4 linked regions of the Drosophila melanogaster genome follow. The protein of the gene in region 2 interacts with the protein of the main gene of each other region in a pairwise test. Each region holds a gene or a part of one and is shown on either strand. Other genes may lie near its edges.

Region 1 (8,825 bases), on a different chromosome or scaffold from region 2:
GCTCTCTCGCGCCGCGTGAGAAATATACATACATAAATATTATGCAGAGAAAGGGCAATCAATCCAGGCATCCCCAATCATCCATCGATCGATCCATCCATCCATCGATCCAAACATCTTAACAAATTATAAGGCCCGAGTGGCGCCCTCTTGGATCGTCGTTAAGTATCTCAACTAGTAGCCGCTAGGCAGCTACAGAAAGTGATCATCTCAACGACAGGCCATCGATCATCCATGGAATACCAAAAAGCAAAAAAAAAAAAAAACGAGAAAAATCCAAATTCAAAACCCCAGATTTTGAGATTCAACGATGCTTTATGCTGGCGTGGTAGAAAGCGTGTTGGAAAATTAAATCATCGTTGCTTGTGGTCTGGACTCCCGTCCCGTAGTTACCTTTGCCTTCCTGCCTTAATGATGCTCTCGACGCACCTTGAGCACCGGCTTAGTATCTACCAAAAACCAAGAAAAAAAACCTGGGGATAAAAAAAAAACAGTGAAGATCTCTATCAGCGGGTTAACTCGTTTAGCATTTAGTTGCAGGCGCCTAACCAGCTAACTTTATCGTGTAGTTTGCATCTTGATGCCCATGCCGTTTTCCCAGGACTATGGATTCTGGACTTGGCCACGCCCTGTCTTATTAGGCGCAGACAGTGTCGTTTATATCATTTATATTATTTTATGACATTTGCCTTTTGTCCGTGGTAAATTATGTGTAACTTGTAGTTTTGGCAGCTCACGATCATCTGATCTTTCGAGCATCCAGGCAGGTGACACACGGGTTTTCGTGGCCACGAACTGGTTAATTAGGGTTGTCCATGATTTATTGATCTGTCGAACTGGGGAAATGTAACCTGTCTCAATGATTATGGACATTTATAAGCTGATGGTCTTTTAATATATGAATATGGCTGGTCATTTTGATGGGCGGGTTATATGTTAATTACCTTTTGCCTAAGAGATTGTGTGGGTTGTTCGAGAGCTTCCGTCCACCCGTATACCCAATCCAAATCCCTTCTCCCCGGCAGCTAATCTTCTCTGGCCCAATCTTATCCAGCACGAACATATGTCGTTGTCAACCTCTGGCAGCTTGACCGCTACCGTTCAGCATCTGCAGATCCAAGGCGGCAGATAGCGGACTCACAAAGATGTCCTCTGGCCGAGGGACTTGGATCGTCTGGCGCCACTTGGCTACTTGAACCGAACAGAGTACCCAGAGCCAGCCACTTGTCGCGTCCTTCTCAGTGCTCTGAAGTACATTTGCTTTATGGAGGAAGGCGCGACGAAGGACAATAGAAAATTATTACTTCAATTGGCGACAGACGACTGTGCTCAGGTACATGCATCTTGAGCAACTAAAGACACCGCCGCCCACGGGACACTTCACACCCAGCAAGGCGAGACACACCGCAAAACGACCTGTCCTGGGAATCCTTGGAATCCAAGGAGCGTGGTCACTTTATGGGCTGTGCCGATGTCGCGTCAACTTATGTGTCTCTGTCTCGATTAGGTTTACTGTCGATCTAGTTTACCATGCACCCGCATGACGCAATTACACCTGATTTATCCGAAGGTCCACCTAGTGTATCTGAACAGAGATCTGCTTGCATCCCACTGTCTTTTGTGTGACATTTCTTTGTCGGTATTTTTGCAGGCGTGAAGCGTTACATTTTCAAATCAAATCTTTTGTTCTAACTGCTGCGATATTTGTATAAAAATATTTTACGATTCTCTGGCGCCGTTCGCTGCCAGAAATCTCCAGTCATCATCATCAGCTGGCCAAGCACCGGAGATATGCCGTCTCGTCCGGATCCGGAGTTGCAGTGGAGACTGGGACATGGGAATGGGCATTACTCGGAAGAGCGTGCCAGGGCGACAGCGAAATGCTAATTTAATAGAGGCTCTTCGACATTGACTTTCTTTCTAGTCCACTGAATGCGAACTCAAGCTTGAAATTATTTGCTGGCGACGAGTCAAGGAAATAAACGCATGTCTGTCGACAGATTTGTCTGATGAATGCACTTATGAGTTGAATCAAGTTCAAGATCAATGGCATTTGAACCAAATTGTATGTAGCTTGTCCTGAAAGAAAATCGATAGATAACTAATCAAATTCTATAATTAGTTCAACTGATTAAAGTAGTAATTAAAGTAAAAGTAATAGTACTAAAAATCGCAAATAAATCTTCACAGAGTTATTGTTTCTATTTTATCCAAATACAAAAATTTGTTCAGACCACAAGAAATAAGGGAAATGATAAAGAACCATTTAAAAATTAAGTTCTATAAAAATGGTGTTTCAAATAAATTGGATTTAAGTTATTCCTTTTTCTTTAAATTACAAATCATTGCATGTTTTCAATTTGCGTTGATGAATAAGTTAAGTTAAGTAAGTAAGTAAGTCTTAATATATTTTAGAATAATATAGCTATTCGTTAACGTATTTCAGTCCAATGTGTTTTAAATGATCAATGGCTCACTAAGTATCAATTATAATACTTCCTGTGAATATAGGAATGTGCATTTCAATCTACTTCCACCCGCAGGCACTTAAGCCCTCAATTTCCAATGCTGACAAGCACTAATCAATAGGCCCTCGAGCCAGAGCCCAAAAACTATATGAATTTCGATTTTCCATTTCTCAGTTTTTTTTTTTTTTGGGCAAATCAATAGCGAGGGCATAGCATATCGAAATTCCAAAACGGGCAATTAACAAAGCCAACAAAATTTATGTTTCACCTGTCTGCAGCAAAGTACATAAATACCCGAGAAATGCCAGACAATGTCGAAGATAGGGAACCCAGCTAATTACACGGGGGCATGGCAAACGACGGAGGGACAGCGCCCAAACGGAAGACGGCTGCAATGGAAATGGCAACGGACATTTTCCGACAGCGCCAAAACCAACAAAAAAACATAAAAACGAAACAGACACACAAGAAAAAAAAAGAATAAACCGAGAGGAGAAGAAAAGGCAACGGCAGCTGAAGACAGCAGACAGGCGCGCTGTGGAAAATCTCACTTCTGAATTACAAGCAACGCCATAGCCCGGCTAAATCCACATCCATATACATACATGCATACATATATCCAAGTCTCCTAACTGACAGTGATCGAGAGGGAGACAGGGAATGCGGCTTGAAGGCAGTGGCGCAGAAAAACACTGCGGCTGATGAAAATCAACAGGGCTAAGCGTTAACTTCGCCACTCGGCTGCACGCAGTTCGCTTTTCCCGCTCCTCCGCTGCTCACAAAATGGCGCCCACCGTCGATCCACCGATCTTCGCCAGAGTGGGACAACACTAGTACCCACATAGCGTAGGCGTCTTCCGCCAGCCAATCACAGGCGCTGCCCACGGAGAACCGGTTTTCCAAGCGTAGCTGCTACCTGCTTGGCATCGGGAAAAACTGGCTGCGACCCACGGCGAGTTAGCACTCGAGCGGAGCTACTCGAGATCAGTTCGTTGCGAAACGTCGAGCGTGAAAGAACCTCAGAGCGCATCTTCAGTTACGAGCGAGTGAATAACAGTGAAGAATTCCAAACTACCAGTTATTATCAGAACGTACTAAGACATTTTACCAAGTGCTATACACCGTGCAAGTGCTTCGAAATGCTTTCCATGCAAGAGCTAATGGATATGCGGATGCAGCAGCAGCTGGCCCACGAGATCTACCGCCAGCAGATCATGCAGCGGATTCCAGGTGCGTTTCTAGACATAAGGTCTATGGGTGTTGATCGAATGCCGTCGGCAAATGGTTTCGCGATTTTCAAACTAAAAAATATGAGAAAATATATGCAACCCAAAAGAGCGTACTTAAAAGTGTTTTAATATTGTGATTATTATTAGTGCTTCGGATTTTATGAGCAATAAATATTCTACTTCAATTTAACTTATCATTATAACTAGAAATTGTGGTCATAACTGCATTGCCTTTATTTTCAATCTTTGATTGAACATATCTTAATAGGTATTATATTCCGATAAAATACAATAGATAGCGAAATTCCAGCTAACTTAGAAATATGATTTCTGCAACACCCACCTCCCTGAAGAGGTCCATTGCAAACCCATGCTAATGAACTAACCAAACCGCTTCTTCCAGATCCCTTTCCATCGATGTTACCTTTCAACATGCCCCACCAGCAGCCGCACATGATGCTGCCCAGTCGTCCCACCCTGCCCGGCGTGGAGGCCAAGTTGGAGAACAACGATTTGTGGCAACAGTTCCATAAAATCGGCACCGAGATGATCATCACAAAGAGCGGCCGGTAAGTTTCATTTTCCCGCGAACCCATTATCCTATGCAAATAGCCCGAGTTTTTCCAAAAGTCAAGTGCGTCGCACGGCCTATGTAAATATTTGCTCCTGTACCAGGGCCAACTTTCCCAATTCCTATCTCATACGAGTACGAGTATGCCTATACCCTGAACCTTTCGATTTCCCGGGCCTAATGTGGCGCCTGGCCATAACTCAAAACGCAGCAGGAGCTCTCGCTCGGAGTGACAACAAGTGCAGTGTAGTCGGCGGAGGAGAACACAAGAGCAAGACGCCGCCCTGGCGCCGGTCCGATCATAAAAATCTTTCTTCTCTCGGTTTCGGCGTTGACAATCGGGTTTGGTCGATCTACCTGCGCTTTTCACACTTTGCCCACAATACCACCATACCATACCATACCATACCATTCCATGCCCTGTCCGTGACCCTTCTCCAAAGCGATGAGACCAGACCCTAGCGTATCTCAGATAGGGGAACTATCGAACAGCGACTACCGAGCGGGAGCCGAGACAAATTTACATAATTATGATCTGAACTCGAAGTTTAAGTTGCAAATGTACACGGAAAGAAATCGTGCAACTACAAGCATTATTTTTGGCCAAGGCTTAGAATATGGCTGGGCATCATAGAAATCAAGAGATCTTGAACATAAATATATATTTGTTATATATATATATATTTCGTAATATTTTATTGAAAATGATTAATATCCAGTAGAAATATTATTTTTCTGTGCTGTTTAATCCGCGATAACAGTCACTTTCTCGGCTCATTAGACATGCATTCGACGCTTGGAAGCCGTTAGGGCGACTCCCAGATTTTGTCTAATTGCTTGGCGCCAGATTGCCCCAGCTCCTCCAGCACTCTGTTGCTCCCCGTGCTCCTCCATGAACCAACGATCCACACAATTAATCATGTGCCGTTGGCATATTGTTTTGGGCTGGCAAGATCTGTTTGCGTTACCTTTTAAATCGATGCGTTGCGCTACGCAGACTCCCCGCTGCCCTCTACTTTTCGGTCCATAATTACACACTTGTTAGCCGGGGCAACAAATCACAGGCGATATGAAGTAAAATAGAATAGATGCCCGGGCGACGCCTTCTTTTGCGATGCTCCTTCCCTGATTTATATGCAGTTCGTGGCAGGCCACTTAATCAAGTCCTATTCTTTTCATCCTTACAGACGCATGTTCCCCTCGATGCGAGTTTCCCTCAGCGGACTGGAGGAGGAGGCCAGCTATTGCGTACTCCTCGAGATGGTGCCCATTGGCGATTGCCGCTACAAGTTCTCCGGTTCCCAGTGGGTTCCGGCCGGAGGAGCCGAGCCCCAGAGTCCGCAGCGCATGTATCTGCATCCGGACAGTCCGGCGACCGGTGCCCATTGGCAATCCCAGGCATTGCTCTTCAACAAGGTCAAACTGACCAACAATACACTGGACAGCAGCGGACATGTAAGTTTGAGTGAGCTCATAGTGTATCTTTTGAATGGGTTACTTATAGTTTCCATTAACATTTCCAGATCGTTTTGGCCAGCATGCATAAGTACCAGCCACGCCTGCACATCATCCGCAGCAGCGAGCTCACCCAACTTCCATGGGCTCCTCAGCAGGCGTTCGTTTTCCCGGAGACGGAGTTCGTAGCTGTCACAGCCTATCAGGTGGGTTAAAGACAACATCCTTTCCGTCCTCCATTGAGGACATGTCTGACAGGACAAAGACTCTGCGGGGGTCGTCGCCTAATTGAGGCATTTTCAAATTTGTCGCCTAGCCAGCCACTTGAGTTTGATCCTAACGAGGATCACAGTGGAACTTTTCAAGTGCCCTCCCAGCCGACGGCTACTTACTGACGCCTCGTAGTTTAAATTTCGACCAGACAAAAACAATAGAGATCGTTTTTCATACTATTTAAATTAGATTTAAAACTACGCGTTTTTTTACATATTTATTTAATCTGCAAATCTTTTTTATAAGGCCGTAAATTTATTTATTGTTCCTTTTTACGATCTAATTGAAAATTCAAGTGTTAAAAGTAATACATTTAGAGCTAATTCGTTTTAAGAATTCATTGTTGTATAAAAACTGATAGTAATTAATCATTTATGTGCTTAAATTAATTTATAAATTTGTTCTCATGCTTGCAGAACGATCGCATCACCAAATTGAAGATCGATAACAATCCGTTCGCTAAGGGTTTCCGCGAGTCGGGTCAATCCCGCTGCAAAAGGAAGCTGAACAGCAGCGGAAACTCGACGCTGGAGTCGGAGGATGATGGCTCCAGTGTGAGCAGCTGCGATTCTCCGCAGGCGAAGCGCCAGCGCCAGGATTTTGAGCAGGACTCAACGGGTAGTGTTTCGCCAGCTTACTATGGAGCAACTCATCCAGTTGCCAATCCTATGTCGCCGTATCTCCGCCATCACTTGAGCTATGGACCCAGTGGAGCTGCCGGATTGCCGCCCAGCATTGCAGCTGCCTATTTTGGTGGAGTTCCTCCGCAGATTCTGCCAATGCCACCAGCCACATATGCGCCAACTGTCGCGCCTGTTAGTCCTGTGGCCTCGCAACCCGTTGGCTCCAGCACACCCACAACATCACCAAGGCCTTCAACCTCAACGAAAAGAAATAGCTTCAGCATTTCAGCCATTTTGGCCTATTGAAAGAAATATTTGGTAAACATACTTAAGTTGGAGTCATCTTCTGTTGTGATTAGTGAGAAACGTGTGCATATACTTTGTAAGCTAATCTATGCTACATATAAGATCGTTTAAGAACCAAGCTGCAATCATATACATTGTTAATTCGTTTTAAGAGTCTTTGGTCAAAATAAACAAATCAGACATCGAATCCGTAGAAAATGCAAAACTATTTGCGGGGGGGGGGGGAGCAACGGTAACCTTCAGCGTTTCCGTTTTTACAGGTTTTTGGCCATATCGCAGTGCCTGGGCCAAAAGCAGTTATGCGACCGCTTTGGCGGGCCTAAGACAAATTAATGCTCTCCATTATGGTGACCAGTCGGTTCTCGAGTCACACGTATCTGAAAAACATCCAACTCCGGTAGTAGTTAAAGCAATTCTCCAAAGATAAGGCGTCCATTATGAGCAGCGATTTGACGGCTTTCAGGCTGTTTGGTCTTTGCCGACTCCCAGCTCCCCTGCGATTCCATCCGCATCCCTGGGACACAGAGATGACGCAGAGGTGGGTGCACGGAGAAAAAAAAGTATCACACATTTCAATTCAACTAAGTAAGTTTTGGCTTATGGTATTGCTAATAGAAATGGTTTTTAAAGTAAATTTAAAGAAAGAAAAATTCAACATTCATCTGATCATTTCAAAATCGAAGCACTTTTCTTGCAGTGCACTTGCTGCTGTTGCCGTCTTGTGAAATTTTCGTTTTATCGCACCTTTTATGGCCATTGGCCAGGCCAAAACGAAGTGGGAGCTGGCCAAGAAACCGAAACAGAAACCGATGCCGAGTCGGTTGGAGAGACTTTGGTGTGGTCACTCCTTGTGTGCATTATCGTGTCAAATGCGACAAATCTGTCTGTGGCCCGGCGGCTGCCTTTCAGCTTGCATAATTGAGCTGATAACTCGGCGCTCCGTGGATGTGTGCGGTCCACTTTTGAGCGTTTCCTAAACGGTGGCGCCAAACATTTCGTGTTTAATATTTTTAATTAAGTTTTTAAGTGCATCCAGAAGGAGATGGGACCACAGAGAATTTATCTAGCCAGTCGTTGCGGATAGTTCAAAGGGGCAACGAATCGATTTGGCTTCCATTCATAGAAATCGATGCATATATTATGCATAATGTAAGCCAAATCAGCGCGAAATAATTCACCAGCCACACGAAGCCGCGTTTCAAGCGGCTTTTTGACTAATTTGGGCTTAGTTTTGTATTAGCGCTTTGTGTTTCTCCTCGTCTTCGATTGGATTTGTTGGTGCATAAATTTACATTTGAAATGCTGAAACAATTAAATTATGGGATTTGCACGTTTTCACCCAAAAACAAAAGGGGCCAAAACAACATCAAATCACATTCGTTGTCGGCGTCTGTGCCTCAGAAGTGTTTTTTTTTTTTAATGTTAGGTGTTTTTTTGCTGACTCGCTGCTGGCTTCTTTTTGAAAAAACGGTGGCAAAAAGCGTCAAAATTCGTAGATTATGAGATAAAAATGGAAATCGAAGTCGCTCCGGTATTGCATTTCTAATTTGCGCTTGTTTTAATATACTTAATGAATTTTTATGTGTAGGTTGGTCCAATACTCATGCCCAAATCCAAATCCGGTTTTCGTTCGAAGCTGTTGATAATGATAATGAGGATAACGATGCTTTATTGAGGAGGTGTTGCCGTTCGGATCTGAATTTTATTTGCGCCACATGTTAGCATATTGTTGTTGCCGCTGCCGCTTTTGTTGTTCTTTATTGCTAATTATAATATATTTGATTTGGTATTTAAGCTTTAAGCTATAAAAATGTTCGCATTCTCTGTTTTACGAGCCAACAGCTTGCAAATATTCAATTAAATTGTGCGAACGAGAACAGGTCGAGGTGGATTGTGAAAA
Region 2 (7,643 bases):
CAATGACTGCTAATATTTATTTATCTGTACCCATTCAAATGAAAGAGCTTTTGGGGGTTGGGGTGTATGTGCCCATCGTAATTGCTTTATCATGCTCACTTTTTTAGTGTTGCATACATCCAGGCAACGATTTGGGGGTGTAACCAGTCATTCACACCCACGGAGCACATACATCTATGTACTCTGCACATAGGTACATAAGTACGTACATATGTCTGCATATAAAAAATGCAAATGGTTTATGGCTGGGGTGTCTTCTGAACATTAGGGGGAGGTTTATAAAGGAGAGAGGACTGTGTCCTCGACAACAAAATACCCGGTGTCCACTGAAACCCATAATGCTGCAGGATAAAGGGTTCCAGGCATGCAATTAAAAGCTAAACGTCTCTTATATAATACTGGACACTGGATGAAAACATAGAAATTCAGTTGATTAATGGGAAAATTGGTTTTATCCCTAAACATCTTAACAAAAAGTTTAGTTTGCAATACTACAAATAACGATTGTATCTCTGTATTTGATTTCACGTGATGTGAATAGCAGTCTTTGTTTATTTTGCATTAGTCCAATATAAGTAATTTTAATAAGTTAGTACGCAGTCTGCCTTCGAGTTGATATTCATTTAAATCGCTTCTTCTTAATTATGAGCTGCTTTGGATTTTCCAACATGTGAACTCTGAGCAAACTCTCCCAATCTTGGCCAGGTATTTATCTGTTTACATTTTGAGACCCATACCCAGAGGGCGACTTCAAGGGTCCGGTCATATCTACATCTACCGCTGCACATTTCCTGGTAACCCAAAAATGATTTATACATACAAGAAAACCAGGCAAATTATCGGGTAGGTATCAAAAGATAAACCTCGAGCAGGTCACAGAGTCGCAGGGCAGCGATAATGCAGCTAATAAGCGAGAGCAGCAGGAAAATGCAGTGGCTCGAGTACGCGGGACACATTTTACCTGCCTTGGATTTGGGATCAGCAGCACACAGTCCGCCAGATACGAAATACCCAGGGCCGTAGATTACATCCAGTCGTATGTGTTGAAAGAGATAAAAGAGCAGCATTACCCACACACACTCGGCACACACTTGCAAACGCATTTTCCTGTTATGGCAGGTAAAAAATATAAAACGCTAAACTGGAAATATAATGCGTATCTCAAAAGCTGGGATCAATGAACTTAGCCAATGCAGAGGAGTTTGAGTTTGGGTTTGGGCTTGGGTCCTGCACTTTCCAATAAATGCAAGTGGAAAATATCTGTGCTGTTGCCAGGGCAAAAATAAATTATGAAACGCCATCTGGGGGATGGGGGTTGCCTGGGAATCTAATTATGCAAGCAAATGCAGCTAATTAGAATTGATAAGAAGAAGGACCCTTTGGTTAGGGGCTAGTATAGGGGTTATGTATTCTATATATCGGGAATGGAAGCGACCGACCGCCAGACCGTCCAACCGGTCACACCCTTCCACTAAAACAAAAAAAGTTGCAAGTTGGCAGGAAGTCAGTGCAATTAAAAAGGCAAAGGCAGGCTCTCGTGGGTTGGGGGTTGTAACTCACACTCAAACACACACACACTCACTCACATACTCTCGCCCAACACACATACGTATATGCATTTAATTGTATTTCTATGTATGTGCTTAAGTAGCTGAAGAGAGCGGTGAAACCCACCCCTACAAAAAAACAAAGTGAAATGCAGCAAATTCAAAAGTTATTTGAGTTCATTGCATTTTCAAGCCACGCAAAACAACAACAGCCATAGCTTACACTCACACACACACAGGTTACACCCACTTGGGGGTGGGTGGTAATGACTCAAAACATAGAGCGGAATATTCGTATAAAAAGAGCGCAAAACAAAAACAACGACGAAAAAATCGTTAAATTCTGCTTTGATGACAGGGTATACTCGTACTCGTACTAAGTCGCTCCAACCCGCCAACCAACCCCCAAAAAATTGTAGTGCGGTTTACAAATTGCCTGAAGAAGATGTCTTTGCTAGCCAGAAAGCGAGAATTTCGTAGATGGGGGTGGAAAACCCGCTTACACTCACACATGTCTTTATGCGAATGTCAGTAAGTAGATCCAGATGGAAGCCACCTTTCGCTGGGAATTCAAGGAAAGTATTGTTCGAGTTTCAAGTGGGACTTTTTTTTTAGCTGAGTATTGGAAACGAAATTTTAACTAAGCTTCAGAGAATTGAAACTATTGAGAATTATTCATAGGATTGTCATAAGGTCCTACGATTTGTTTGAAGCAAAGTATGCTAAACAGAAGGTCAAATCAAACTTTATGTTGAGATCAATAAACCTCTTTGTTCGTGAACTCCAGAATATTATTGTAAAATAATACAGCTATAAGCAATTTGTATTAATTTCATTTAAATATTTTTGCTTACTCTACTTGCTTTTTCCTGCCGTCATGAATACTAAAATATGAACCAATTGGACAATCAAGAGGTGTTATTCACCGAAATTAGAGGTTGTATATTTTTTACGTTTTACTATTCTCATTTATGATGATCTTAATCATAAGTTATTGCAAGAAGTACCCGTTAGTTTTTGATGACTATCAGCAGCCCGTTTAGTTTATTTTTGAAAAAGAAGGCTATCCAGAAGTTGCCATTCCAACAAGAGTAGTGCCCTTTGCCCCAAAACAAGACCCTCTGTGTGTAGGGCATTAGGCGAGGCAGTAGCCGACCCCCTCTGCCACTGCCTCTGTCAACGACTCTGTCTCCCCACCACCACCGCCACTGTCGCTGCTCGAGTGAGAGTGTATACCCCCTGACGCTTTGACGCCGGCGTCGCTGCCCGCAGCGGGCGAAAATAAATCGATAAAAATAAAATAAATTTTTAGTGATTATGTTATACAGACACATGTGCCTGCATGTGCATTGCAGGCGATTGTCTGTCCGTATGTGTAGCCACATTGTAAATGTTGTATAGTATAGTGTAGTGGTGGGGCAGATGCACTTACCGTTGGGCACATTCTGATTAAAGTGATTGCCATTGGTCTGATATCGCTGCACATGGTTATCGGTGCCGGCCGCTGCCGCTGCGGCTGCTGCATTCGCGGCAGCCGCGGGGGGCGTGCCGAAGGCGCCCGGCGTCTGGGCGTCGAATTTAGCGGCAAATTGGTGGATGCCGGAGAAGGGGCCGCCGAACGCGGAGAAGTTCATCATGTCAGGATCGGGATGATCGGCGGGGTAATGGATAGTAGTTCTAGGGCCTCGAGGGGCCCTTTTGGTTTAAGCAAGACAATCTTTCGAATCGCTTTAGCACTAAAACTCGATCGGTCGCTAATATTACTTGCAATTCTATTTCTTTTCTTTTTTGTAATTATTTTCTGCACAACGCGAAACGATGACGAAGTGTTGTAGTGGGTGGTGGCGGTAATGGTAATGATGGTGGTGGTGCGCTGGTTGTGTGCCTTCTGTTGTTGTTTTCCTGTTCTCCGCCGTCGCTGGTGGGGGTTGGTTTTCTTTTCTTTGCCTCCTTTCCCCTGGTCGCACTCATACACTAGCACTCACACAGAGGCACATAGACACACGTACGCGCTTACGAGCGCACAGTTTTATGCTGTGCTTTGCTTTTTCGGGGGTAGAAAAGCAGAAAAGCGGGCCCAAACACAACACGTACACACACACACACACTAGCTCGCACACGCGGAGAACCACTTTCGGTTTCGATTTTGATTCTCGATTCCGCTGGATTCTGATTCCGATTCTGCTTCTGCTTCGCCTCAGCTCGAACTAAGCACGCACACACAACCGGCGGAACGGAGCGGAATCGCACTAAAGTCTCGCTTACGATTTCGCTTACGACCGGCTCGTCGAGGCTCCGACATCAAACTAAAAGTAACATTACAACGAGGCGAAAGAAAGCGGAAACACTGGGCCAGGCAAAGCGACGCGGACGCGGACGGCGGCAGCGCTGCGACGCAAATGACAGTGACAGTGCCCAGAGGCACGCTGGGTATATCGGTTGGGAGGTATTCGCACCCCTTTTCCTCGCTTATGGTTTAGATGGTTTTTAGTTTTTATATTTCGTTAGAGGGCTAATGGCACTCGTTTTCATCCAATCTCTCATGGTTACCTTTATCGGTAGTTTAGATGGGTATTTTACCTATAAGTTGATCGTTTAATTAGTTTTTCAAATTATTTAATACATATAATAAATAGAATGTTTTTAAATCAACCGATTGCTAATGATAATTTTACACCCCTTTTAGCGCTCCTCTTGTTAAATATATTTTTTTTAATTATTCCCAAGATCATGTTAAGCATTGGCAATGACCCCCCGCATTTACTGGGTAGCAACTATTCGTCTACCAACCAATTGCACGACTGCAGCATTCTTACATGTCTGTATTAGTTCGCTGTGTGTTTGTACGACTGTCTGTATGTTTGTGCGCTGTGTGCCGCTTTGAGGGTGGAAGTTTTTCTACTTCTCTGGAAAATGCGCGTTTATTTGAACGTTCCTTACATTTCGCTGCACCGAGTGTCGGGCATATGACACTGGTCCCAGGCCCCTGCTCCCGAAATTGGCTTGGTCACTTGGCCAGATTGCTGGGCAGAATATTCATGCGCGATCCGTGCAGGCGAAGTGCAATTTATGCTGGGACTGAAGCCGATACCGAGCTGATCCGAACCTCATAGCCAGACACGCAGTGAGACGAGCCACGAAATTCGCTGTAAGTTATCAGGATGAAAACCGGTTGGGAGCGAAGCATAAAAACTGGTTTCCAGCGAGAGATGAGCTACTTTTTGTGACCGCCGTCGAGGCAACAACAAATGTATTGACAACGTCGACCAGGATGACTTTTTGAATATCTGGATTTGGTTTAGGCACAGCAGAAAGGGCCATTAAGATTGCATTTATGTATTTTAATGGTAGGGAATAAATTTATTTGCATAACAAAATTCTGGATCTTGATCACTTTGGATGCCCTAAACTACTAAAACTACTATTGTAGTTCTTTGGAGGGTAAAAGGATAACCTGCTTTTAATATATTTCCTGATAATGGCTACCTTGTTGAAGAACATTTTTTAAAAATATTACATTATATCTGGGTTTGAATATAGCCTTTAGGACTCGAAACAATCATAATGAAATTTCTTATTAACTTGCAAAAAGGGTACTCATAGATCGACGTAGAGTGTCCACAAGAAAAACGCACATACAATGCGCCTTGTATTTTTATTTGGTTTTCCAACTTTTTGGGGTTGTGTGGTATGGCTGTGCACTTATACGTTTACATGTGAATATGTCAGTTTGTAGCGGCGTATGTACGATGTGTTTTCAAGTATCTATGTTTGGCTATATGCTTGTGTGCATGTATCTGGATCTGTTTGCCCACGGACATGTGTAGACGAAGGGAAAGGAGAGGCCGAGAGAGCAGAGCGTTCTCGAGCGCATTGCTCTCGTTGCATTCAATTCTGCCTCTGCTGTATGTTGTATTAATGAAAGTGAGTCCAGCGGCGAAAGAAAGCAGGCCGTGGAACTAAGACAAGTTCTTTTTTTGATTCCGCTTCTGCCTCTGTTCTCCTGCCTTCTTGCAAGTGTTTTCATGTTTTCCAAACCCACATCTAGGGGTTCGAGATCGGTAAAATAACTCCCCCTAGGAGTTTCGACCCATTTTCAATTAGTGATCCCTCTTCATTATGAATTTTGATGACAGATAAATACTTGTATGTACATACATATATATGTACATACATATATACCCCCATTTACATAAGCTTAATTAACGGAAATATTTCTATAACCTAGAGATATAATAATATGCGTATGACTTCTTTTTTTAATAAATTTAAGCAATCTCTATTTATAATATTAACATTATTAAGTAACAAAATAAATGCGCAGGAGACCGGCAAGTCGATTCGACTGCACCTTAATTTTTATGTGTTAATTCACATATACACGTGCACTTGCATAAGCGCCTGTGTGTGCATGTCTGTATGTCTTTTCTCATTCTTGTTTTTTCCTGTTGCAGTCTTGTCTTCTACTCGTTTAATACAGAGGGTTGGAGTTTTTTACGTTCTCTCACATTCTCCTTGTTTCGTCTCTCACTCACTTGCTCGTTCTCTCGTCTTCTCTCTTTCTGCCGCGCTTGAATCTTTGAATGCAATGCTTTGTTTAGCTTGATTTTCGAGCAATTGCAACTGTTACATGTGTTATCTAGAGTTTATATGCACATTTTCCAATTATTAATTACTGCCGATCGACGGAAGATACAAATATTCTGAGTATCGAATAATAGTTAGAAAACTCGATCACCGGCACTATCAAATATTTTGATACTCTCACACTCATGGGTACAGAATGTACCTGCAGATACTTCGATATACCGATGTACATATACATATGTATGTACATAGTTGTGCACATGTACACAATGTATGTTGATGTTAGGTTATTTGTATGTAACTTGTTTCCTTATTCAGCATCCTCTCCAGACCCCCACTCCATCTCCCCCACACTCATTCGGAATATAGGGTCCCACACAGCATAAACCCGACTTAGAGCCCAGAAAACCCTTTCCTCTGTAAACCCTTTCACCACTTGCAATTATTGAAAATGTCAAGGACCATCAGCGAGCTCAGAATAAATAAAAATTCGTTTTGTAATGGCGTTTATTGGTTTTATTAATTATCATGAGCTTTTAGTGGGCTGAAAGGCTTACAGCGAAATGTCGGGCGTTGGGAGGGGAATTTAATCTATGCTAATTGAAAAGGAGAGGCACAGCATTGCAAAATAAGATTAAGTCCACCATGCACACTTTTCCTAATACACATTTATAAATGTTTGTTTTGTTTATTTTATAAATAGCCACATATTGTTTGTCGTATATCATATGGATATGATCCTTGGACCAAAAGAGCACCCCCAAAACATAACATTACCGATTGATTACATGTCCAATATTCGTATAAGTTAGATTATGTATAATATTTTGTTTCTTATTATCTGTGCAATATTTGTACACAATGTATTTATAAAAGGTAAGAAATAACGAATGTAGAAAATCAATAGAAACTAAATATCCTACAAAAGAGCATACCAAAGATCAGCGACTTTAAGTTTAATATCACAAAAATTATTCAAATGAGATGTTACTAAGCGCAAACGAATGAATGAGTCAAGCGGAGGCACGCATTACAAAATCATAATACATAATACATACAGACTATATAAATATCAATACTTTTTGTTCTTTAGCTATTTGAGTATTCAGGATAGAATATTTAACGCTTGAGTAATGTATATGGAAATATAATTTTCTATTTGTAAATGGAGTATATATGGCCAGAGCCACGTTAACCCAGCGCAGCTGATAGCAAAGGCTCCCAGGCCCTATTTGTGTCCATATAAAGTTTATTATATTGCTCGGCCAGAGAGTCACCGTCGTCTAGTATGGTTATTGGAAATAGATCGTTCTGTAAAATTAGAATATTTCGTTATTGCTAAGGAAAGGTTTAGTAGTCAACGAGAAACATACATTCTTAGACTGCCAAAGCTGCTCTAGCAACCGCAGGAAACGTTGCATTTCCATGCTGCTGGCAAAGAATATAACCAAATCGTCCTGGTTTTCCAATGGTGCCTCCTGGCAGGAGAACTCCAGAATGCACCACCAA
Region 3 (6,783 bases), on a different chromosome or scaffold from region 2:
GGGATTGCTCACTTTGAGGACACGGCCTCCCCACGAGAAGGAGTTCGTGGACATCTTTGCCAAGTTTAAGCTGTCATTTAACCTGCTGGCAAAGTTGAAGGCGCACATCCACGATCCCAACGCTCCCGAACTGGTGCATTTCCTCTTCACGCCGCTGGCTCTGATTGTGGAGGCCTCCAGCGACACGTACTACGAGTCACAGCTACCGGCCCGTGTGGTTAATCCCCTGCTGACCAGAGAGGCCATCAACCTGCTCATCAACTGTGTAACCAGCAAGGAAACGGAGCTGTGGCGCTCGTTGGGCGATGCCTGGGTGATCCCGCGAGATCAGTGGAAGGATGACGTTGGATCCTACCATCCGGTCTTCCTCGATGGCTGGTCACCGGACTATTTGATCAACGATGAACTGGAGCCACCACCAAATTCCCCGCCCGCTCATGTGAGCAAGCGCAGACTCGAGGTCCAGGCTGGATCCGGACTAAATGGTCGTGGGGGAGGCGGATACGATGACTACGACTCGGGGAACGGGATGAACATGGCCATGGGTATCGAGAAGTACACCATCCACCACGGCAACGACGGTTTAAGGGAGCGGGAAAGGGAGCGCGACAGAGAGCGGGCGGGCGCAATCAGTGCGTCTGACTTTAACGCCCGCAGCGAGCTGTCGTTCGACTCGATCGAAGGCAGGGGCGGCGGAGCAGCGGGACATGGCCATGGTCATGGCCACGGACCAGGAGCTGGACCAACCCTTAGCGCCATCACAGCTGGTCTGCAGAATCTGCATACGAGGGAATCTCGCAGTGGAAACGGGTACGGAGCAGGAGCTGGTCCGGGGCCTTCGTCGGAGTTGGGCGGTGGAGGCAGAGGCCTGCCGAATGTCAGCGACGACCAGATGCTCGAGTCCTGGCTGGAGGATCTGCAGGCGACGGGCGCTAAGATTGTGCTGGTCACCTATCCGCGAACCGCCAACAACGACAAGGAGCTTAGCGTGATGCGAGGCGAATACTTGGAGGTAAGGCCAGCACCCACGTTACCATCCTTCGTTCTGTCCTATAACCATCTCTTCGAAACTTTAGATCCTTGATGATACCCGAAAGTGGTGGAAGGCGCGCAACATGCGGGGTCAGGTGGCCCACGTGCCGCACACGATTGTAACCCCCTTCAATTTCGGGGATGGAGATGGAGCCCAGTTCTACGGGCAACAGCAGCAGCCACCGACGGGTCCCACAGGTCCGGGCAACAAATCGCGATCAGGGGTGAGTAAGGCTGGTCACTCAATTCATGATGGGACTTGCTAACCGCTCTACATTACCCAGGATAATCCCGGCATGGAACAGCGATCGCCGGATCCCACCGACATGATGCGCAGCAAGCATCTGGGCAAGAAGGGCGAGTTCCGCTACTTCTAGGATCGAGATGCGATCACCATATACATATACACATATTCCGTAGTGAGGATCTAGCGTTATAGAGAGACAGACATCAGCAGTTCCGTCTAGGATGCTAGTCCTGGTCACTAGCGATCGGATTGGCTCCAATACCTTGCACTCGCTCGCAGGAGTGTGCAAACCAGAACTAACCTTAAGACTAACCTAAGTGGAGCTCCAGACGGGAGCTGTTGAGCAGCACGTGGCTCCTGCTGAGGCGGATGCTTAAGCTGATGCTCATCCAGGCGAAAAGGGGAGGCGACGGCAATAATTTGTTTTAATAAAATTATATCCAAAGGAACCTGCCTATTGGTTGATGATTATTGAGGAGATTGTAGTTTGGAGAGCTGCTTTGCTTTATTTGGATGCTCACAAGAAGAAGTTAACTGGTGCTGTACGGTGATCAAAGCCAACGATTGAACAAAGAGCATACTACGAGAACTCGAATCGATTAAATGATGGACAACTTCTCCACGCGGGCCAGAAGCGGAGAATCGGAGTGGTACTCCAGGCTCCGCACGGCGAAGTCGCCCACTTCGTTGGTGAAGCACTTCAGAGTGGATATGGAGAAGGGGCGTCCGGGAAAGTTGTAGTAGGTGAAGTACTGCCCGTTGACGGCGATCAGGAAAGCCCGATCCCCGAGCCCAAAAGCGATCTTGAAGAGCTTTCCGCGCACAAATGGGAATTCGCCCTCGGTCTCCTCGTCGCTCAAGGCAAAACTAGAATAAGTGAGTAAAGGTGAATTCTCTTGGAGGAACTTTGCATATTGGAGTCTCGGACTCCTTTATACCTGTTGTCTTCACGCTGGTAGCTGCGTGACACGGTTGTCCGATCGAAGTTCACGTGGAACCGGAGCACCGTACGCCCGGTGTCGTTGCACTGGAAGCAGATGGAGAACTCCGTGGTCGGCGGGCCCTTGGCGATGCACTCCATGGCCACCACTGTGCCGGTTTCATACCGCCTGGGCACGTCGCTCTGGAAGGCCACCTTGTCCGGACACATGAGCGTTCTGGGGAAGACGAGCGGAAAGAGCATGCGGTGGTGGAACTGGGTGATCTTCTCGAAGTCGCCGTAGGTGCGCACGTAGTTGATTTGCTTGGGGAACTTGACGAACTCGAAGGACCCGTACAGCTGGTCGTTCACGTAGATCTCGAAGCATCGCTGCAGCACCGCCACCCGGAAGGTGAAGCTCTGGCCAGGCTGCAGCGGGTTCTTTGGGCCGTCGCACTTCCAGTTCTTCGAGATCTCCTCCTGCTGCCATCCCCCGCCCGGCTGGAACATGCTGCGGATGATTTGGCCCTCGCGGAAATTGGCCTCGATCTTCAGGAACACCGTTTCGCTCTCGTTCTGCGCGTTCACATTGTCCGTGAGGTCCAGCGAAATTCTGTCCGTAATTCGAGAGGTGTCATTAGTAAAAAGTATTAGATATGGATTGGGAGGATACTCGGCACTCCCCCAAACTCGCTAAGGATACCCATTTCATTTCTGCAAATCTCTGTCACAGCTTTATAAGCCTTTCGTTGGCATTAGAACTGCATTGTTTTGTCAATAATCGGATAATTCGAATACCATTTATACTTAATCTCTTTTTACTTTTTGAACTAATTGGTTTATTTCATTTGGTTAATTTCATTTGGTTAGAAAATCAGCTTCTACATTTGACCTTTGACTTTAACCCAGATCAAAGCGGTATTCTTTTAGTGGAGAACCGGGTATCCAAACTATGAAAGATGATTACTTATTCGGATGAGGCTTGACGCGCCCACTGACGATGAGGACGTGTCCGAATGGGACCTCCGTTAGGACCTTTGCTTTCCAAACGTTCATCGCGGCTCCACGGCTCCACTGCAACTGAGTCGACGAGTGCGAATCCTCGATGGAATCCAGCCGGATCCGGCGCCGTTTTATGCGCCCTTATGCTAATAGATTCGCCATCCGTCGCCTTTCCTCGTTCATTTGTTGTGATTATGTAAAGGCGGGTGAAATGGGGAATTACCTGCAGCCGCATGCAAACTTGACATGGACGTGGATGTGGACGTGGTAAGGTTACCCCCAGGCCCATGCCCGAACCCACCCCGGTCGGAGCTCAACCCGTTCAATCGAATCCCATATAAATCCACTCGGTGGTGGCTCCCTGTCCCCCTGGCCACCTAATAACCGACCCAGTGAGCCGCGCTCCATGACGAGAACCTTGCGCGTTTATTTATTTGATTCAATCCTTGCCTTTGTAACCCATAACTGTCATCCTCGAGTTCTTTTCACGGTTGCTGTCACGCCCCCAACTGCCGACTGCCCATTTGTTGCTAGTTACCAGCGACACTGGGAGAAAAACTAGCCAAAGATAAGTTATTATCCTTATTTTTGCTTAAATATTGAATATTCAGTATTGTTGCACCACATAACTTGGGAAACCCGGAAGCGTTGTAATACTTTTTCGAAGATAAAACATTTATGATCCTAACTCGAAAAACTGCTTATCGCATAATGAATTTCCGATCATAAAATTAATTGCCCGAATAACTTTGCAAGCTACTAGTTATAAAAATACAAGGAATATGTTGTAATTGTCATCTTAAATTCATATTAAGAAAGTATAAGTGCTAGTTGGAGGAATAGGCACTCCTTGATGGTGGCTCATATCCTTTTTATATCTTACTGCTACATTTTAGTACTCCTAGTAACCACTATTACTAGAATGTCTTCTAGCCGTGTTCTCCATCTTGGCCTCTCCCCTTTTGACGGTTCCATTGTTGTTGCGTGTCTTGGGCGAAATAAAACAAGGTAACAACAATTGATTCCCTGTCTAAAGTTTTTGCATTTGCAGTAAAGTGCGACTTGGGGGCTGGAGCACTTTGCCAGCCCCTCCTCGAGACATCCCCCTTCCAACTAGCTACGACTCCAGTCCGGGTAATTCATTTCTCCTGACGTACCTTGGCATATTCGCTGAAGTTCTGTCTCCGTCTACACCTTTCGCTTTCGTCCACGTCCAAACCAATGACATCTTCCCAGGGCTCCACTCGTGCCCTCGAACAGTGGAAGGTCCTTAAAGGCGACCAGTCCATCCATCCGATCCCAGATCTCAGCCAGAGCTTTGATTTCTATTAGCCTTAATCGAACTATTTCTAAGATCAAGATCTAAGATCTAAGATCTCTTCGAAAGGAGGGGTCCTGCTTGGAGGCTTCACTGTACTCCCCCAACGAAAACGTGGCCTCTGTTTGTCTATGCCATCTTCGCTGTTTCTGTCGCTTGCACCTGATCGAATTGGGTCCAAGTCTTCAGCTTAACTCGACTTGGCTGGGCGCACTTATTTCTGGCTGCGTTTCACCTTGGAGCACCCGGGCCAGCTGGTGACCCACCCGACCCAACCATCCGAAGATGTGCCTGGCTTTGCCTGCTACGAATGGCAATCGCTAATTGGTTAGTTATGGCCACTGACAATCAATCCGTCAATCGGCAACTAGACTGCCGAATATAAACATCCGGGTGACCTTGCCAGCTCCTGCCTTTCGGATCCGACCTTTCGGATCACTCCGCCCACTTGTTCGGCCCTTCGCAAACAGAACTAATGAAATAATCGTGTCGATTTCAACTTTAATTTCCGCTTGTCACTCCAACTGATAAACCGAAAGCAAGTGGAGCAATGCGAGCAAGGTTTGTGTACGTTGCACAATTATCAGTTTGGCTTCGGCTACCTTTTTACCTTATAGAGAGAGTGCCACGTTTGCCCTACCCACAAAGCCCTTTGCCACCCCACTGCACTGGAAGAAAATAGATAAAAAAGATACCTTCAATATACCTACTTCATATATCTTCAATCATCAGCTCGTATAATCATCGACATATCAAATAAGTTTCTGGGTGGTAAGATAATTCCTCGAAATGATCAGCACACTGTGTATGTTTTTCTTTCGGTGCTCCCAGAGTTCCCAGAGCTCTTATCTCGTTCCCAAGTCAGTTTCCCCAGCCGTATCGAATCGGTTGGGGCAAAGCGACGACACGTCTACAGAAATCAGATTTTACAGTCGGCCAACTGGCGACGGATCCGCAAATCGTACAACCAATATAGTGATAATGGGTTTACGGCCCCGAGCGACCGTGCCAGCGCACCAAGTGGAGTATCCGATTCCCAGCCCCAGCCCCAGCCGAAGAGCAGTTCTCCACTCGGATTCGGATTCGGAGTCGGAGTCGGAGTCGGACTCCGAAACCCAAACGGAAGCCGAGTATGGCGGCGGATTTAATCAGCCGGCGTCTGCTATTTGGGAGCGGAGCGAATCACGTCGCTTCTCGGTATCAGTGCCAGGCTAATCATTCCAGATCGATGGGCCTTCGAGGAGGCGCTGCTCATGGGGTTCAGACCCACCCCCGATCCTCACCTGCTGACGTACCCAGTTGGGATCACCAAGCGTGGCCAACTCATTAGTTCACTCGAGCTGTTAGCAGACCGAAAGACAACTTCCTTGGGAGGTGGCCACCATATCCACCTTGTATATCCGATCTCCACCACGTGGCGCTTTAGTCGGACATGAAAATAACTTAAGCCAAACGAACAAACTTTCGGGATGATCACAGTTTGCATTCCCTTGGCCCAAGTAATTCGCTGCCCGGAAGGGGTTTCGGATGGCTCCATGTCGGAGTAGCTACACGTAGGCACCGCCACCTCCACACTGGGTGCTCCATATCTAGCCGCCGATCGGTTGGATCGGGCGGCACAATATGCACTTGTCGCGACTCGGAACGTAACTGAAACGTCGGATTTGACGGTGAAGTTTAAAACACCAGCTCCCGACCAAGAATCGGGGCCCCACGAAGTACACCCAGTATCGTCGATCGGTTGCCCATATCTCACCTGTACAGGTGCGAATGCCAGGAGCTCGGCAACGAGCAGCAGAGGAGTGGGAGCGGGAGCGGGAGAGCCGAAAAACAGAAACGGAAAGCAAATAAATATGAAATATTGAACTGGAGCAGAAAGTGGGTGATATTCCGAGATAGCACTCACATCCGAGCGTGCGTGCTGTCTTTGTATTGGCCATTAAACGCCGCTGTCAACGTAGCCGAAGGGCTGAGAAGAAAATGAAATAGAAATGGAAATGCCAGTGGAAACGGAGCTGTCGCCCCACAATTTGTCTCAATAGCTGGCCTTATCAGAACAGGTAGTGGTGCGCACAGGTGAGGGCTCTCGCCCGCTCCCTTTGCCTGCGACCCCCGGTCGGGTGCATCCATTCAGGCCAGCTCACAGCTCAGGTCACTACGATAGTGGTGAAATGTAGTAAGGTAATAGGCTGCCCAAGATCACCATTTGATCTAATGCCTAGAAGAGAAAGAAACTCGTTGATCCCACCATTACAGTTTTTGGCT
Region 4 (9,872 bases), on a different chromosome or scaffold from region 2:
TAGCTGTATGCTACACAGTACAGCTATTCCTGAGTAAGTGCATATATAACTGCATAATAATGGCGTAATCAAAAAAAAAAAACAAAGCAAAACAAAAAAAAAGGAAAAAAGAACACCCAAAACAATACACAGAAAATCACAAGAAAGAGTGAAAGATCGGTGAAAGGAGGTAAACTGTGGAAGCCCAGATTTCCAAGGGATAACTAGGATATAACACCATAATAGTTAATTGCTCTAGACCTCACAACTGATCTCGATTCGGAGCACCTCAGGCTAATACTTATGCATAACGATAACGATAATTAAAAAACAAAAAAAAAACGATAACAAACAAAAAGGAAGAGAGAGTGATAAAAACAAAAACTTAACGACTTAAATGCACTAACAACAGGCATCGAACGGTTAGCCGTTGACTAACGGTAGCAATCCGTCCGTTTTAGGCCCTCTCAATGCTTCGCTTCGCAGCTATCGATGCTTATCGATTATATAGTCTCGGTAATCGAGCCATAATCGAAAATATCGTTTGTGCGATAAGCGATAACTATTTCGTTGCCCATTTAAGACACCCAAAGATGAAAACCAAAACCAAACCAATGCTTTATATGTTATTGAAGTTAGAGAGTAGGGAAGGAAAGAACGATTTGAACGATCCGCCGGATCTAATAAATCTGAAGGTAGACAAAACGGGAGAGGTGGAGAAAGAGGCCATCGGGCTAGTCCAAGCGAAGCATGTTATACCAAACACCGTACGTAACAATAAGTGATTGAAAATCATCCTTAGACATACACACATACTGCATAAATCGATATATACATCTTGCATATACATTTAAAAGAAAGAAAACTAAACAAAACAAAAAAAAAATGGTAAAAAAAAAACTAGTTTTATATGAAGTTAAGCGAACGAAGGCCGTGGCATATTATATAACGTGTATACAGAATAGCGAAAACGAGAAGAGAACGATACTACCCCAGGACACTATATACAAACGCTCTACTATATGCCTGTCAAGAACTACTCACAACCCATTATTACAGCATACATATACCCATGCCATATTACCCAAAAATTACATTAATGCATACGTACATACTCGTACTATTCGTACATACATACATGCTATCTATCCCCTAATCATACATTATATAGCATCCCCAAAACCCTATATTTCTTCACTTATCACTCGGAACTTTCAAGCCGTTGATCTTAAAGCCTAGCCTAACCGAAAACTACAACTACTAAAACTACTACTTGAGATCTTTAAGTGCAGCAGCGAATCCAAAACTAAACTAAACATTACTAACCTAGCGATCTAACTAACTCGTTTATATTGATAAGCATGAAATTGAGCTTTTTAATTGTGCAGAACCCAAATTAGAACACAAGGAAATACAGCTACAACTACACCGACACCGACACCTAAAACACAGTTGGATTTGGAGAAAGCAGCGTAGGATTTGAGGAATGAGTTATGTATGTTCTATAACCCAGCATGTCAGTATGTCCAACCTCCTTCTATAATTTCCCACGGAGCTATTTTGAAGCAATCCCGACTTTCAAGCGACAGCAGCAGGAAATTGATACATAAATGCAGAAATCAACTCGAATTTTAAGGAATTGAACTAATTAGAATTCGATTCGATTCTTTTGCATTTGAAAGTTTGTCCTTGCTGACTTCTTATATTCTGTTTGGTGAGTGGAGAAAGTAACAAGAACAAGCGTGAATAAACATCAAAATAATTGAAAACTTTTGAAAAAAGCATTTTTACTTGACATGTGCGAGCGTGTATTAAACTTGATTCGTTTATCCAAAACAGGTAAGACGTTCTCAATTTTAAAATGTAAGCTTTTATTTCAGCTTTTCAATGCGGAGATTCAGCTTATTTGTTTCAGGCATATTAACAGATTGATTTGTTTCTTTATTAGAATACGTTTCATTTGTTCACTTTAATTTGCCAGAATTTGCGCTGTTTATTGTATGAATATAATATATAATATATAGATTCGATATTCGTTTGTCTTTGCTACGTTTTGAAGAAGGCCGCATAGAGCACGAAGGCAACAGATTTACAACATCAAACACTTTACAAATACGTTTCGATTACTCATACACACATTACACACACGCCTAGCTAAGTAGGATGGATTGGAGGATAGGATTTGTTTGGATCGGCAACGATTCGAGTTCAATCAATTGTAACATCTCATTTCATCTGGAATTGTTTGTGGTTGCAGTTTGTATATAGGAATATTAAAAGCGTTAGGATCATGTTTCATTTATATTTGGGCGGGGCGGTTGGTAATCCTTGAATAATTTTCGATTTGGATATGAAAGCTACACTAATCTCATGTTGTGTTCATCCATTCATAAAAGGAAATGGTGACTCTTTTATGCAAAATATCTCAGTATAAGCGGATACAAATATATAGGAAGTTGTGTGTTTCCCATTTCAATAAGTTTCATTAAGAATTTGCGAATGTGTATAACAATAAATATAGTTTTGTAGCATTTACACAATAGTTTGCATCACTTTTCATTCAGTTTTCAACAAGTTAAAGAATATGTAATAATTACAGTTGAAATTGCAATTTAAATTAGTTTTGGATTTCGATCCCACTTGAACACTTAAGTTGCATCTGTTACACTGCACATTTACATATAATCTCTCGAAAATGGAATTTAAAACACCTGTAATCTCAGCTAATGTTATCAGCTAATTTCAAAGATTACGTTCTCCCCGCCCGTTTACAAGTGTATAGCTAAATATGAATGCTATGTTTACGTAGTGAGGCGGCTTTGCCTTATTCTCAGTTGAGTAGCCCTGCTCCAGGGGATTCCACTCCTCAAGTTAGTTCGCTGCTCGCTTTCGTCTTGTTCGCTTTCGTGTCCATCGCTCACATGGCGAAACTGAGCTGCAGAGCATTGCGCAGCTCGTTGAGCACCATGGATCCAATGACCATTTTCTCGCAGTTTACCAGCAGCGTGAGGGCATCCTCTGTTTTCCAATCGAGGGTGAGTAGCACGAGGCTTTTGGAGCTCAGGGTTTGGCCGGCGAAACAGTGTAGCTGACCGCTGGAAGAGCTGTGCGTATGCGCCACGTTGATGGACTCGAAAACCTTTTGCCGCAATGCGACCACATCGATTAGGTCCTGCCTCAGGCCACGCAACTCGCACTGATGCTCATTCATTCCACGCAGCTTGGCCCGCTCCTCGCGATGACAGCTCTCGCCGATCTGGACGGATCTCACCAGCTCGCCCACCGGCGGTTTCAATTGCAGTCGTGAACTGCCCGCACTTGACAGAAGCTCCAGGTCTACAGCATGCGTCGAATCATTGAAATCGACGCCCAGCACACCACTCGCTGTTTGTTGGGGCTGGAGAACAGTGATTGGCGCAAACTCATTCAATTGCATGCCCGCCGGCAGAGTTGTTTGCCCGAGACGAATGGCCGTAATCTCTTTTTCGCCACGATTCTGGAACTGCAGCTCAATGGAGCACATGCTCGAGGAGTACAGATGCGGGGAGCGGGTGAAACGGTAGGCCAAATGCAGTCCATGGCCACTGACCTTGTTAAGCAGCTCCTTGTGCTTGAACTCGATGTGCGAGGGACCCACCAATTCCACCCGATTGCGGGCGTGCTGCGGCTGCAGTGGCGCCGCCTGTCCAGCCATCATTGGTGTGCCTATTGAAGAATTATTATATAAAGAGGCCAATTTAGAGATGCGCATCACCTTACCAGGCGTCAGGAATCCTCCCAACGAGGGCGTCATCACGGGACCAATGGGCGGAATGTCATCCAGATCGAGTAGCAGGTCCAGATTGCTCTTGACAGCCGTTTGCTCCGGCTGTTTCTCGTGCTTCTCTTTCAACTTCTCCGGCTTTGTGCCTGTGTCCGTTTTCGTTTCGTTCTTTTTCACTTCATTATCGCTACCGGAAGCGCTGTCATCACTACTACTGCCACTGTACGCTGATGAATCCTCGCTGTCCGATGTTCCTGACGAACCTCTCGCATTGTTATTGTTGTTTATAGTTGCTTTTACAGGCGAAGAAGTAGCGGCCAGCTCATTGCTTCCAGCATCGATAAGCCGCTCCTTCACCGAGGAAACCTTGGTCGGCTGCTGCTTTTGCACCTCCTCCTCCTCCTCATCGCTGCTCCCGCTGCCATCGCTATCGGATTCACTGTCGCTGGTGCCACTGCCACTGCTGCTGCCTGATTCCGAGTAAGCGGAAGACTTGTCGTCCGACTCAGAGAGGAAGCCCTTCTCGCCACCAGCACCCTTTTCCTTACCGCCTTCACGGCCGGATTTATCCTTTGAATGTCCGGATGGCGAGTCTTCACCCGGCAGCTTGTCCTGCATAAATCCAGCTATATTGCGTACCGATGAATCCGGTGGAATCACCGGAAAGGCGGGCAGTTCCTTGTAGCCAGCCGCTGGCATGTTCAGGTAGTGAGACAACGATCCTAACTGGAAGTTATTGCCATCCCGGTATTTACTCTCCGGCACCGGAGCCGGTTTGCTGGCGAGAAATACTTGGCGGGCATGCTGGCTGAGCACCGAGCTCGTTCCGCTCGCCGGAAAGATGATTTGCCGCAGAAAACGGGCACGATCGCGTACATCGTAGTTGGGATCATAGCGAGCCAGCGTAAAGACGTACTGACACAGCAACGATGTCTGCTCCGGATTGGTCAGATAGAGCTTAACGCCTAAGTTTAGGACCTGCAGCTTCACCACATCCTGCTCATCGACAAACGATTTGGCCATTTTGCGCAGCACATCCGGGGCAATCAGCGGCACCTTCTCGTTGTATTCGCCTATAAGCCAAATGATGGCTGCCCTAGCTGCGGGCACATTGATATAATCGATCAGTTTGGCCATTTGGGTGATAATCTCAAAGTGCTCGGCGGCTTTCGTTTGCAGAAGACGCTTAATCACCACCACGCTCTCGGCCACCACGTGTTCTAAATGGAATAACGGAATACTTATAAAATTAAAATACAAATGGCTAAAAGAAAGCTTAACGCACCGTCATGATTGGACAGCAGATGAACCAGGCCACTCAAGCAGGTCTCGGTAACCTCCTTAATGCTAGATGCACATCGTCCAATGGCCTGAATCGTGGCCGCCACAAACGAACGATCGCTGCTGGAGATGTAGGTTTGAAATTCGCGCAGAATGAGCGAAATACTGCCCGCCGAGGCCAGATTGGTGAGAATATCCAGCTTGAGAAGCTTTATGTGCGTGGGATCGCTGGTGCGCACAAAGAACGACTTGAGGTGCGGCTCAAAGATCGCCTTTCGTTTGGTGGACATCGAGGCAATGCAATTGAGGACCACGCTCTGAACCTCCTTATGCGATCGCAGCAGTCGTATCAGCGCCTTGGCAATCAATTGCACTTCGTTCTTGGGAGCCACATGATGATAGAGCTGCGCCACTGCCATCACCACGGAGGCATTTCGCGATTGGAGCAATGGTTTCGTTTGCCTCAACAGCAGGCGGTGATCCACATCGATGTGGTAGCTGTTGCTCGGAGAACTGGGTGTTCTACTGCCATTTCCTCCGCCATTGTTTTTATTGTTCGTACTCGACTTGTTTTTTTCGTCATCGCTACTGCCATCATCGCTGTGGGAAGAGGAGTGCGAGGATTCGTCGTAGAAGCGTTCACTAACGGGCGTTTCGCCCAGGCCATCGTTGACCAGATCCTCATCATCCGCATTGGGATCAACGAACTGAGTGCGCGCATAGCGGGTCAACATATTAATGATGATCACCTGACCCCATTCGTCCACATCCAGCAGGAAATTGCACAGCTTGCGGTAGTTCTTGTGTATCAAATCTACACGTTCCGGACAAACCTACGAATAAAGATCCGTCGTATATAGAGGATAAATGTTTTACTTTAGCTGCAGACCCACCTCGTCGAAGGCCATCACCGCTGATCCCACCACTAGAGTAGTGCGATCCGATAAAAGCTTCTCAATGACCATGACCAGTTCATCCTTTTGATCCGCGTCCAGAGAATACAACTTGGGGATGGCATGTGCCGCTGTTTTCCGCACATATGGACTCAAATCGGCGGCGCTATCCCGAATGGCCAGCATTACGATTGGCACAATCATGCTGACCCTTATGGAGGATAACACTCGCAGAGCCGAGGCGCGAATAAGTTGATTGGGATCCTTGAGCGCCCTCTGAAATGTGGAAATGGATAGCAGGGCCAAGTCCTGCTGCTCCTCGGCGTATCGCACCAAATAGACGTAGACCAACTTCTTGACCTCGATATTCTTGGACACCACATTCTTGACGACTGCCGGGAACAGATCACTGGCATCCCGTCCGCGGGCAATCATGCCAATGATGCGCTTCATGGCCTCCAGCTTTAGTCCATCCTTGTTGCTGTCCAACATTTGCTTGAGATCATCATGCTTGCGTCCATCGGATTGGAAGAAAGCTGCTCCGCTGGCAGGATCCGCTCCGAATTCGACGTCCAGTCCCATTTGGGGCCGCTCCACATATGTGGACATGGCGAAGGGATTGCTGGCCGAGTTCTGCTGCATTCTTGCAAAGATTCCCCCGGATTACCCAGATTTCGGTTGACCACTTGACCTTTTACTTTCCGTGCTGATGATTTTTTTTTTCCTTTTTTTTTGTGTGTGGGAGTTGGCAGTTTTCCCTTTCGGTTTTTGCAAATGCGTCCAATGTGAAACCTTTGTTCCTGATGTTGAATCCTCAAGACGATCTGGTGGTCAGCTGCTCGTCCTGCCACGCAGCTTGCAAGTTTTGCAAGGGATACTATTATTTATGCCGAAATTCTGGCCAATTTTTGCATTTTTTTTTTTAGCTTTCTGTTTCCTAATGGTGGGCAACTGTCGATAGTCGCCGATTAACACATAGCACAAAAATACTAGAACACTTTAACTAACTGTGATGGAATGCACCAAGAGTTTTTCATATAGGTACGCACATAAATAAAGTAATGTATTAGTTACGATATCCAATACTTTAACCGAAACATTTCGCGGCATTCATGTTGCTTTTGAATTTTTATGAGTTGTGAGTTTTTTGTAGTGATCCGTTAAAAATTCGGTATCGCGTGTCGCGTGCACCTATCGATGCCGAATCTATCGGAAACTGCTGTTCTTCGATATGCCCTATTTGTCTACATCTATCGGAGTATATCGAATCGACTACAACTACGTGGCTGCAGTGCGTTTAATAGCGATTAAAACCAGGCCAAAAGTACTAAGACAAACGATGGAATCGACACTCGCCAAGGTGCTGCTCCTTGTGGGCAGCCTGCTGATCCTGTGCCGCACCAGCCACGCCTTCATCGTCAGCGTGGACGCCCACAATGAGGAGTGCTTCTTCGAGAACGTCGAAGGCGGCACCAAGTTTGGTACGTGAGCGATATGGATTTTCGGTCAATTGACAAGGGATCTATGCTGATAAAATGATGGTGACTTTACAGGCGTCACCTTCGAGGTGATCGACGGTGGCTTCCTAGACGTGGACATCAAGATCAGCGGCCCGGATAACCATGTGATGCACGAGAGCGAAAAGGAGTCGTCCGGCAAGTACACCTTTGTGGCCCCCGCCAAGGGAACCTACACCGTGTGCTTCAACAACGAACGCAGCAGCATGACCCCCAAGCTGGTCATGTTCTCCATCGACGTGGGTGACGCACCGCAACGTGCGCCCGGAGCACCCGGCGAGGAGGAGGTGGGCCACACCAAGCTGGAGGACATGATTCGGGAGCTCTCCGGCACGCTGACCAGTGTCAAGCACGAACAGGAGTACATGCATGTGAGTGAAGAGACGAGGTGAAGATGGAGCATCCAGCTGCCACATAATCATGATTGGGGGTTTTGGAAGAGTTTAACATGTAGCAGAATTAGGGGTACATGGAATATGGGAGCAATCGAGTAACTATTGCCACATAGTCTGGCATGCCTCCAGCATTACTTGTACAGATCCACGTCGCAAGATTTAAGAGCGGAGTCGGTAGACTTGTTCGAGGGAATGGAGCTGCTAGCTGCCACATAAACAATAACTAGTAGCGATTTTCAAACACTCATGTTTTCACCATCGGTTATAATCAGTATTGACATTATTTGTGAAGTAATCCACGACTAATCCTCCAATTTCTTTACTCCCTCAGGTGCGCGACAAGATCCATCGTTCGGTGAACGAGAACACCAACTCGCGAGTGGTGCTGTGGTCCACCTTCGAAGCCCTCGTCCTGGTCCTGATGACAGTGGGCCAGGTGTACTACCTGAAACGCTTCTTCGAGGTCAAGCGCGTCGTGTAATCCCGAGCGGAAAACCAGGATGGAAGTAGCAAAGGAAGGCGGCACACGAAGCTCTGGGGGAAATGTGTGCGCAATGCGTTGCAGTCTCAGATTTAATTTAAATGATTAACATCCTTTTGTAATTTAAATAAAATACCTTGTAAAAAGTAATTAGTGCTTGAAAGTATGTCGATCATGTTTCTGTTTCGAGAATTATTAACAGAGATTGCTATATTAGAGAAATTAATATATATATTTTTTTTTAATTACCAAATATCTCTTAATGGAAACAGAACAGCAAATATTTTCAGACACACATTCAAGGGGGGAAGAGACACTTGTGAACTTTCGAACTAAATTGATAAGAACCATTTGTTTTCTAATAAATGTAGGTTGACAAGAGAAAAGTTTGTTTGCAACTTCGAAATGGAAATGGATTCTATAATAATTTCGAAATATCTGAATGGAAATAAAACAACTTTTCAGAAGCTATATTAAATTCGTTTCAAATCTTTTTGAGTGTTGGGTAGTTAATGTGACAGTGGAAATAAGTTATTAAATCTGACGTCGGTGTGCAGCACTGGATCGTCCAGTGACAGTTGACATATATTCCTATCAGCGGCGAACTTTTTTGTCCGGACTCCTAAAAGTGACTCCAAAAAGTGCGATGAGATCTTTTCTTTATATGCTCTCCCAACGTCCCAAATTGGCATGTTTGTGCGGAAAATCTATTATCATATGGCCTGGTAAACGTACAAATCTGCCGGAAAATGCTTTCACTCAGCGGATGCTTCAAGAATGTGGCCAAATGGCAAAGCCGGACGCTTCGGTGGATCTCGATAATTTCAAAGCTATTTCGGAGCAGTCTCCCGCCGAGGTATACTCATTGGAATTGGTTTCGCAAAATTGTCTTCTGACATTGATATAATCCCCCCACATTAGTTTGGCATCGATTCCTGCCGAGTGAAGGCACAGCCGGAAGATCGAAGTGACCGCATACGGGAACAAATCGCATCCGCCTATCCGGTGATTCACGAACGGACCCTCCTACTCTTTATCAGCTTCTTAGAGCACAAGCTCACGTTCGGTGGGTACAATCACAATCGAAAGAATTTATATTTTCTGGTCATCGTTTTACAGGCAGCGAGCAGGAGAAGGCCATCTACAAGGACATGACTGTGGTTGACCTTGTGCAGCGCCTGCTGGCGAAGAGATGTGTGTGGTTCTTTGGCGCTAACGACTATTACCGTACAATGCAGGGAAATATTGGTAACGAGGGCTTCGAGGCAGTGGGTACGCCCGCCGAAAAGGAACCCCTCACTTTGACCTCGGTGCTCAGCTACGACGAGATCAAGCTGTCCGCCCTGCTCTACGTGTCCTGCCACTCGGAGTTCATTAACAATGGCAGTAGGGTCAATGGGGGTGAGGTGCTGCAGAATAAGGACACTATCGAACGGGAGGGCGTTGTGATTGGACTAATTGGAGCTCGTTTCGAGCGTCCCGATGTGATGGAGTACCAGGATATCATGATTACTAAAACCCAAAATACTGAGGCCAATGGCTACGGTTTCGATTTGGAACAGA

Evidence for each region.
Region 1: the proteins of l(3)neo38 (region 2) and Doc1 interact in a two-hybrid assay, tested with the Drosophila melanogaster proteins (one large-scale study listed by BioGRID).
Region 3: the proteins of l(3)neo38 (region 2) and CG13950 interact in a two-hybrid assay, tested with the Drosophila melanogaster proteins (one large-scale study listed by BioGRID).
Region 4: the proteins of l(3)neo38 (region 2) and rb interact in a two-hybrid assay, tested with the Drosophila melanogaster proteins (one large-scale study listed by BioGRID).

Annotation. Positions count from the first base shown.
Region 1 is NT_037436.4:9,037,933-9,046,757, forward strand, and holds Doc1 (Dorsocross1), read left to right. Parts: upstream 1-3,442; 5' UTR 3,443-3,607; coding exon 3,608-3,698; intron 3,699-3,896; exon of another isoform or gene 3,897-3,965; intron 3,966-4,100; coding exon 4,101-4,266; intron 4,267-5,455; coding exon 5,456-5,723; intron 5,724-5,791; coding exon 5,792-5,929; intron 5,930-6,412; coding exon 6,413-6,925; 3' UTR 6,926-7,110; downstream 7,111-8,825.
Region 2 is NT_033777.3:11,774,495-11,782,137, forward strand, and holds the start of l(3)neo38 (lethal (3) neo38), read right to left. Parts: upstream 4,635-7,643; 5' UTR 4,488-4,634; exon of another isoform or gene 4,364-4,487; intron 4,128-4,363; 5' UTR 3,185-4,127; coding exon 2,980-3,184; intron 1-2,979. Other genes in the region: prd1 (pruning defect 1), read right to left, coding at 7,326-7,445, 7,508-7,643.
Region 3 is NT_033779.5:856,792-863,574, reverse strand, and holds CG13950 (uncharacterized protein), read right to left. Parts: upstream 3,379-6,783; 5' UTR 3,255-3,378; coding exon 3,166-3,254; intron 2,812-3,165; coding exon 2,218-2,811; intron 2,147-2,217; coding exon 1,879-2,146; 3' UTR 1,769-1,878; downstream 1-1,768. Other genes in the region: aru (arouser), read left to right, coding at 1-1,012, 1,077-1,256, 1,317-1,409.
Region 4 is NC_004354.4:4,533,748-4,543,619, forward strand, and holds rb (ruby), read right to left. Parts: upstream 6,880-9,872; 5' UTR 6,559-6,879; coding exon 5,917-6,558; intron 5,857-5,916; coding exon 5,028-5,856; intron 4,963-5,027; coding exon 3,739-4,962; intron 3,685-3,738; coding exon 2,897-3,684; 3' UTR 1,888-2,896; downstream 1-1,887. Other genes in the region: CHOp24, read left to right, coding at 7,256-7,397, 7,470-7,804, 8,160-8,309; CG3568 (uncharacterized protein), read left to right, coding at 8,956-9,165, 9,231-9,375, 9,429-9,872.